Linked DNA regions of Rattus norvegicus. The protein of the gene in region 1 interacts with the protein of each later gene in a pairwise test. Links are inferred from orthologs where the notes say so. Each region holds a gene or a part of one and is shown in the gene's direction. Other genes may lie near its edges.

The links. The genes of interacting proteins can lie anywhere in the genome.
Region 2: the proteins of Lpxn (region 1) and Hoxc9 interact in binary tests that used the Homo sapiens proteins (3 or more experiments, as listed by UniProt). The two-hybrid records come from large-scale screens. The link is inferred for Rattus norvegicus from reciprocal best matches to the Homo sapiens genes LPXN and HOXC9.

Annotation. Positions count from the first base shown.
Region 1 is NC_086019.1:219,358,664-219,362,175, forward strand, and holds part of Lpxn (leupaxin), read left to right. Parts: intron 1-2,226; coding exon 2,227-2,384; intron 2,385-3,512. UniProt on the Homo sapiens protein: Transcriptional coactivator for androgen receptor (AR) and serum response factor (SRF). Contributes to the regulation of cell adhesion, spreading and cell migration and acts as a negative regulator in integrin-mediated cell adhesion events.
Region 2 is NC_086025.1:135,995,929-136,000,098, forward strand, and holds Hoxc9 (homeobox protein Hox-C9), read left to right. Parts: upstream 1-1,363; coding exon 1,364-1,901; intron 1,902-3,659; coding exon 3,660-3,904; 3' UTR 3,905-4,041; downstream 4,042-4,170. UniProt on the Homo sapiens protein: Sequence-specific transcription factor which is part of a developmental regulatory system that provides cells with specific positional identities on the anterior-posterior axis.

The DNA of each region.
Region 1 (3,512 bases):
GATCAGCTTCAATAATCATTAGCTCTTGACATTCTTACTTCACATACTTCTGTTTTTTCCATCCATTCATTGTTTTTAAGGAATCTCAATTGTTATATTTCTTATCTGTATGTAATTCAGTCTTAATCTATAACAAACAACCATACTAACAGAAGCTGATAACCTTAATAGTGGTTCCTCAATATCATGAAATAACATTATCATACCTAAGATTAACTGACATCACTTTAATGTCAATATTTTCAAATTTCTAAGATGTTAGCATTTAATATTGTTAACTATACAATGTTAAATATCCTTTAAAAATTTTAACTTATCATCTTCTTAATGCTTATGAAACTCATGCTGAATACTGAATTCTGAATTTGCAACAGGACTTATTTTTCACTTGCCTGTAAATTTTTGACCACAAGTTAACATAAATCTCCAACATATACTATCAGTGTTCTTGACTGTTTATTTTTTAAATTTAAGTTAATGATCTAAATTAAAATTATATATCTCTTAGTTCTCTCTTAATATACATGTGTCCCTTCTCCCCTTCTGTCTTTTTTTTTTCTTGTCTGTTTATTTCTTGAAGGGCAGTTTAGCCTAAAGAGATTGATTCAGGTTGGTTATTTCTAAAATGGTATATGAAGGTCAAACTTTTGTGATTGAGCAAGTTCTACAGAAGATTTCTTTTGTGAAAACAAAACAATTAGATCTTCCCCTAAAATACTGAGAAATAGTCATCCTTAATCTGGGGGTGTGGCTTAGTGGCACGACATACATTACTTCGTATATGCAAGTTCCTGGGTTCAGCATTGTTAAGAAGGAAGACAGTGGGGAGAAGACAGTTTTTGAGCTGTACATGATGTCACACCCATAAAACCCCAACAGTCAGAAGGTGGAAGCAGAAGGACCATTGAGTTTTAGGCCATCTTGTGCTACTTGGTAAATTCTAGGTTTGATCTACAGCAGCCTCTCTTAAAAACTAGACAGAGCAAAACTCCATTCTCTCCAAATATGAAATACATGAGCAAGTTTTTCAATGACATTTAAAGTTCATTTTCTTTATTTGAGAACTTCAGAGATAGGCGGGTCCTTAGACATCATATAATCTGATACTTTGCAAGCTTATACAAAGTATAACATATATTTTAAAAGTCTTCTGAAGTTCAAAAACAAAAAAAAGACACAAGTATCTTGATTGGCAATTTGAAAAAAAAAATTCTTCCATTCAATTGCTTCATTATATAGATGAAGAAAGACCTTCAGAGAACATGCTGTGCTTAAGATGAGTCAGACAATCTGGTGATACTGGCAACTTCAGTGTACAAGTTGACAGTGTTGAGACTGGAATAAGATAGCACTCATTGGAGATCTGATTCTGTGTTCACCAGCCTGTGAGAGCTGCACTGTCTCTCTCCTTTATATAAAATGAGAACAGAAATGTCCTCTACTTCAACCTGTCAAGATAATTAAATGCAAACTGTATTCATCATATACTATGATTGGCATGGTTAATTTGTAATCGTTATGATTATTGACATTGCAACAGAAAGGTATTAGTGAAATTCTTCTGAAGTCTGTTGGCTTTTTACCAAGAAAACTGCAAAAGAAGTCCGAGTAATTTGGATTGCTACATATTGCTTGATTGCATAATACATTAGTTTCTTTTTTTTCAACCTTCTTTTCTTCTCCACATCCAAGAAATATAAACCAACAACAAAACACCAAAATACTTAACAATTTATTGTATTATGATCTTGGGCTAACCCTTGAGATAAACTAAAAAATCAGGATAAAAAAATGTTTTGCCTGGTATATTGTTGGTATATTTTGAAAAACTGTAATCCAGTTGTTTCTCTTTTTCTAATAAGAAATATATATGCAAGTGCACAACACACACACATATACACACACAGAAAGAGATAGAGATATAGAGATATAGAGAGAGAGAGAGAGAGAGAGAGAGAGAGAGAGAGAGAGAGAGATCTGCCCTATTTGGTTAAAATCAATACCTAGACTGTCAGAAATTATTGTAAAGAGACTATGAAATTGAATGCAACCATAGTAAATCTCAGACATTTTCTGGGATATGCCACACTCCTGAAGGGAGATAAGGATGGAAAAAGGTATTTGTAAATTTTTTTAATTCAAAACAAGAAGAGAATATTTAAGAAGAAAATAATCCTGAAGACTCACAGATTCTACATTATACTCCTCTTGTTTCCTGTGACATAGATGCCTTATTGGAGGAACTGGAATGCTGCACCCTTCAGGACAGTGAGGACTATTCAAATCCAGTTTCTTGTTGCCTGGATCAGCAACCCACACAGGAGAGCAAGCTTCCCCAAACACCAAAGACCTTGTCAACGCAGGGTAACACAAGTCCCTTGAAGGTAAGATTTGATCTCTTATAGTATTATAGACAATGTTTGACAGCACTTCTGAAAATTAATTGTATCACACAAAAATTATATAAATTATAAATTATATAATATTATATATTAAGGAGAAATATATATTAAAGAAAGAACATAATTTCAATATTGATTTAAAGATAGTTGCTTTTGGAAAGAGTAGAATTGAGAAAATGGCTGTAGTGGTTTAAATAAGTTTGACCACAATTCATGTATTTGAATGCTTGGCCCACAGGGAGTGACACTATTAGAAGGTGTGTCCTTGTTAGACTAGGTGTGGCCTTATTGGAGGAAATGTGTCACTGTGAGGGAGGGCTTTGAAGGCCTATGCTCAGTTCCAATACAGAAGAGAGAGACTCTTTCTGGCTTCCTTCAAATTAAGATGTAGAACTTTCAGTTCCTTTTCTAGCACCATGTCTGCCTGCATGCCATGCTTCCTGCTGGGATGGTAACAGACTGAATCTCTGAAACTGTGGACCACCCCCAAGTACATGTTGTCTTTTATAAGAGTTGCTTTGGTCATGACATCTCTTCACAGCAATGGAAAGCCTAACTAAGGAAATGACCATAGAGTAAGCCTTTGAACCTTTTTTCTAGTACGGACATAATAGTAGAGTATTGCCTGGTACGTGCTGACTACTTGATGCTACTTCCTGAACCAGAACCAGTTACCACAAGTGCCACATTATAATTTGACTGCAGTCACACCCAGTAAGACCTGGGATCACCTGATAGTTTAGATAAGTCTTCTCAGGGTGACTCTATACAGCTGTTATTTTGTCTGTATTATTTTCTGTTAAATACATTCAGAAATTGTTTTCATCTAGCTAGAGACGGTGAAACCTTGGTAGCTACCACAAAAACCAACCAACCAACCAACCAACCAACCAACCAAACAAACAAACAAACAAAAAACCCCAAACCCCTAAATCCATTAGAGATGATTTATTTGAAAACCCACAGATCCGATGTGTTAATTTATGATTGTTAAAATATCAAGTACATATTTGCTGAGATATATATTCTCTTCCTTTGGATAACTATGTATAGACCCTAATTATAATTAAAGCTTGCTTCATGAGAATGCAGTTAGTATAGAAGAGTGAA
Region 2 (4,170 bases), on another chromosome or scaffold:
ATAGCAGTCAACTTATTGGGAGGGTGGAATCCAAGTTGTCTGATATTTCCTTTCAATCACACTGCCACCTTCTGAATTCTTCCATCGACCCCAAAGAGATCGCCCTCTTCCATCCCTCCGTTGCTTTTTTTCCGTTCCAAAAACAGCCTACAATTTTATTTAATGAAAGACACATTTATGAACAATCAAATGATCCTCATAAAATTTTTATTGAAGGACGTAAAAACAAGCTACTTGCCCACGACCGAGGTCGCTCTCTCGATTTGCCCGTTCTCACCCTGGCTCTCTGCAGACAGAACCTCCGAGTGACTTCTTTGGGGGGGGGGGGGTGTTGTAGAAATGGACCTGGGCGCAAAGGAGGATGAGCAGGCAGCTGGGCTGGGGATGCCCCACTTAAGTTGTGTAGCTCTCTCCTCCACTTCTTCAGGCTGGCAAAGAAACAGAGACAATAAATTTTAAATAAAGGCTTGTATGTCTGTGCTAAAGCAAGAGGAGACTTGTGGGGCTGATGATAAAGGTGTGTGAGCTTCCCAAGCGTTACTCCTCCCACTCCACAGACCACCTTTCCCAAGCTTCCCATACCCTAGATTTGGGAAACTGAGCTGGCCAGGGGCAGAAGAACTCTCCCCTTTCCTTCCTTCCCTCCCTCCATCCCAGCTTGTTCAGTCCCCTCCCACCCACCCTCCCTCGCTGCTAGTGCTGCTGTTCCTGAAAGAAATACATACATACACAGTATTTAAAAACGCATTTTTAAAAGCCACGTTCCGAACTGACAATCGCTGATCTCCGTTCACTCAGAGACTGCAGGAGCGTCGGAGCCGACAGAGACAGATTACGTCAAGAAATAGTTCCTCCACCTACCTCGTCCGGCCTCCCCGCCCCTGTGGGGCTCCCCGAGCCCATCTCAGCTCTGGGGGTCCAGGAACCCTGGCTTCTGGGACTGGCATTTTCGTCTTGTTTTTTTTTTTTTTTAAATCCTCATGGTAGGGGGAGCCATCTGCTTTTGGCTGCACATGGTCAAGGGAGGGGGGGGGTCCCTGATGAGATATGATTCGTCCGGGGAGGGGGGGCCTGTCTGGCGCCTTGGGTCCAGAGTTGCAAATCGCTAGGAAAACGCAGGTCGCGGGGATCAGCAGAGAGAAGGGGGTGGTAAAGGGGGGAAAAAAGCAAGGGGGAAAAAAAGCCCCTGCGCATTGATCCGCGCCGTATTTTTGGGTAAATACGATCACGTGGGGGCTGGGGAACCAATGAGCTGCCGGGAAAAGGCTGGAAAAATAATTACCTGCCTTGATTGTTCTGTGAGCAGATAAAAAGTACATATACAGTTCATACAATAATCTTATGTATGTAAAACCCTGTTACGATGTCGGCGACGGGGCCCATCAGTAACTATTACGTGGACTCGCTCATCTCTCACGACAATGAAGACCTCCTAGCGTCCAGGTTTCCGGCCACCGGGGCTCACCCTGCCGCCGCCAGACCCAGCGGCTTGGTGCCGGACTGTAGCGATTTTCCGTCCTGTAGCTTCGCGCCCAAGCCGGCTGTATTCAGCACGTCGTGGGCGCCCGTGCCCTCGCAGTCGTCCGTGGTCTATCACCCTTACGGCCCCCAGCCCCACCTCGGCGCCGACACGCGCTACATGCGGACTTGGCTCGAGCCGCTGTCCGGCGCCGTCTCCTTCCCCAGCTTCCCAGCCGGGGGCCGTCACTACGCCCTCAAGCCCGACGCCTACCCCGGGCGCCGCGCCGACTGCGGCCCGGGCGACGGCCGCAGCTACCCGGACTACATGTACGGCTCTCCCGGGGAACTGCGCGACCGCGCCCCGCAGACGCTGCCCTCGCCCGAGGCGGACGCGCTGGCCGGCAGCAAGCACAAAGAGGAGAAGGCCGACCTGGACCCTAGTAAGTTGGGAGCAATTTTCCTTTACAACCGGCTCGGGAGGGGAGGGGAGGCCAGGCGGGGACAGCTAGATTACAGCCCCTCCGAGCGGCGCGGGCAGTGCGGGAAAGGAGCGAGGGCGAGGGGGTGAGGACTCAATAAAAGCGAATTACCTTGGGGAGCTCTCATGAGGAGAAAGGTCTGAGAAAAGGGCCCAGGCAGCCAGGTTGGGTGAGGGCCAGCCAGAGGGGCTTCTTTCCCAGAGGCTGGCTTTGAGGGAAAACTCCTGAGTCCCCCTCTTAGCTCTTTTTTTTTTTTTTTTTTTTTTTTGGCTCAGTGATCACTTGTGTGTGTGTGTGTGTGTGTGTGTGTGTGTGGGTTTGGGGGGGAGTTGCTGCAAACAGGGACAGGGGCTGGGCTGAAGGGCTAAAATTCATTTTGTGGCTTGAGAAAGGACAGAGCAGAGGTGAGGAAGATAGTTGGAGCAAAGGGAGAGATATTATCCCTACCTCTCACAGCCAGAGTGGGGAATCTTCATCCCACTAGGGGTTTTTAAAGCAGAAGGTCCATTGACTTCTCCCCCAGGAGAAGAATCTGGGGGTGAACAGCCTAGGAACTTAGGTTAGGACTTCCAGATATAAGTGGAGGAGAAGTAAGGTCCGAGTTTCCTTAAACTTGAAAACCCACTTTTAAGTGTCCACAGGAGAGAAAGAGTTGTGAATGGGGATCAGGAACGTATAAGGAGGAAAAAAATCTTCAGATTAAAGAAACACACACACACACACACACACACACACACACACACAGAGAGAGAGAGAGAGAGAGAGAGAGAGAGAGAGACCCCCTTCAGAGAGACAGGAGTATTCTGGGTGTTGCATAGAAGAGGGGTGCTGACTAGAGTAGGTAAAGAGGTGGGGGGCAGGTGGAAGCTGCAGGGTCAAAGAAGGGAGAGAGAAAGAAGGAGAAACAGCAGGGGAGGGGTGCAGTCCCCTGGATGAGAGGAAGTGTCTGGGGGGGGATCCCCAGGAGGAGACTTCAGGAAATCTTTTCCTCTAGCTCTATAAGGGGCCAGGGCCTAATTACACCCCTCTGAAGGCTTCCCTCCCTGCTCTCAGCTACTCTCATAAACCTGAAATTGGAGGGTTGTCTCCTGCAGAGCTGTCCTGGGGCTGGCTGGAGGAGTGGGGCACTGGAGTCCAACATAGGAGGGAGCCTTTCTCCAAGGCCAGCAGTTCTGTGAGGAGAGGGGAAGGTTTTCCTCATCCTGATAACTTCACCCTGATAATTCGCCTCAGCAGGGTTGAATTCTGAGCGGGGAGATGGGTACTGGAAAGAAGTGAGGGTTTAGGGACTCTCAGGACTTGGTCATGGGCTGTGAGGATGGGAGGGGGCAGAGGAGGAGGGAGGTGGGGAGGAGAAGGACCTTGCTATAAAAATAAAAAACAAGAGAGAGAAGCGTTTATGGGCCTATGAAATGGTTGGGAATTTGGACTTTTTATGAGGATATTCTCGAATTACTACTCTTGAAGCTGAGGACCAGGCTGTGGGGGCTTTGATAGCTTAAATTTTACTACAGTTTTAGGTGCTGGAAACTGAACAGGGAGGGGACATGGGGAGGGGGCTGGATGCAAGAGAAAGGAGGAAATGCCTACAGCAAAATGTGTCCAAATTCAGGTTCAATTATTGAGTTTGGGGAGGTTGACTAAACCTAGAGGTGGGATGACAGAGGTCCTGAGCTGGAAGAGAACTCTACTGACCCTTGCCTGTGTTTGGCCCTCCAGGCAACCCCGTGGCCAACTGGATCCATGCCCGTTCCACAAGGAAGAAGCGCTGCCCCTACACCAAGTACCAGACGCTGGAACTGGAGAAGGAGTTTCTCTTCAATATGTATTTAACTAGGGACCGTCGGTACGAGGTGGCCCGTGTTCTCAATCTCACTGAGCGGCAGGTCAAAATCTGGTTTCAGAACCGGAGGATGAAAATGAAAAAGATGAATAAAGAAAAAACCGACAAAGAACAATCCTAAACCCTGCCCCAGCCTGCTGCCTCGGCACAGCCAAGGGAAACACAAAAACCCCACCAAAAAATGCCCCAACTCAGGCGGGAGAAAGCACGAAAAGAAAAGGAAAGAACAAGATAGAGAAAAGCCCAACGTCTTAAAAAGAAAAAAAAAAAAAGGAAGGGGAAAATGCAAACTCTTTCGATGTTGGGAGGGTTAAGTGTTGAGAAATTGGTGTTTAGAGTTAGTTCTATCCATCGAGGAGGAGGCAGGAGAGAAACTGCGTTCTCTTA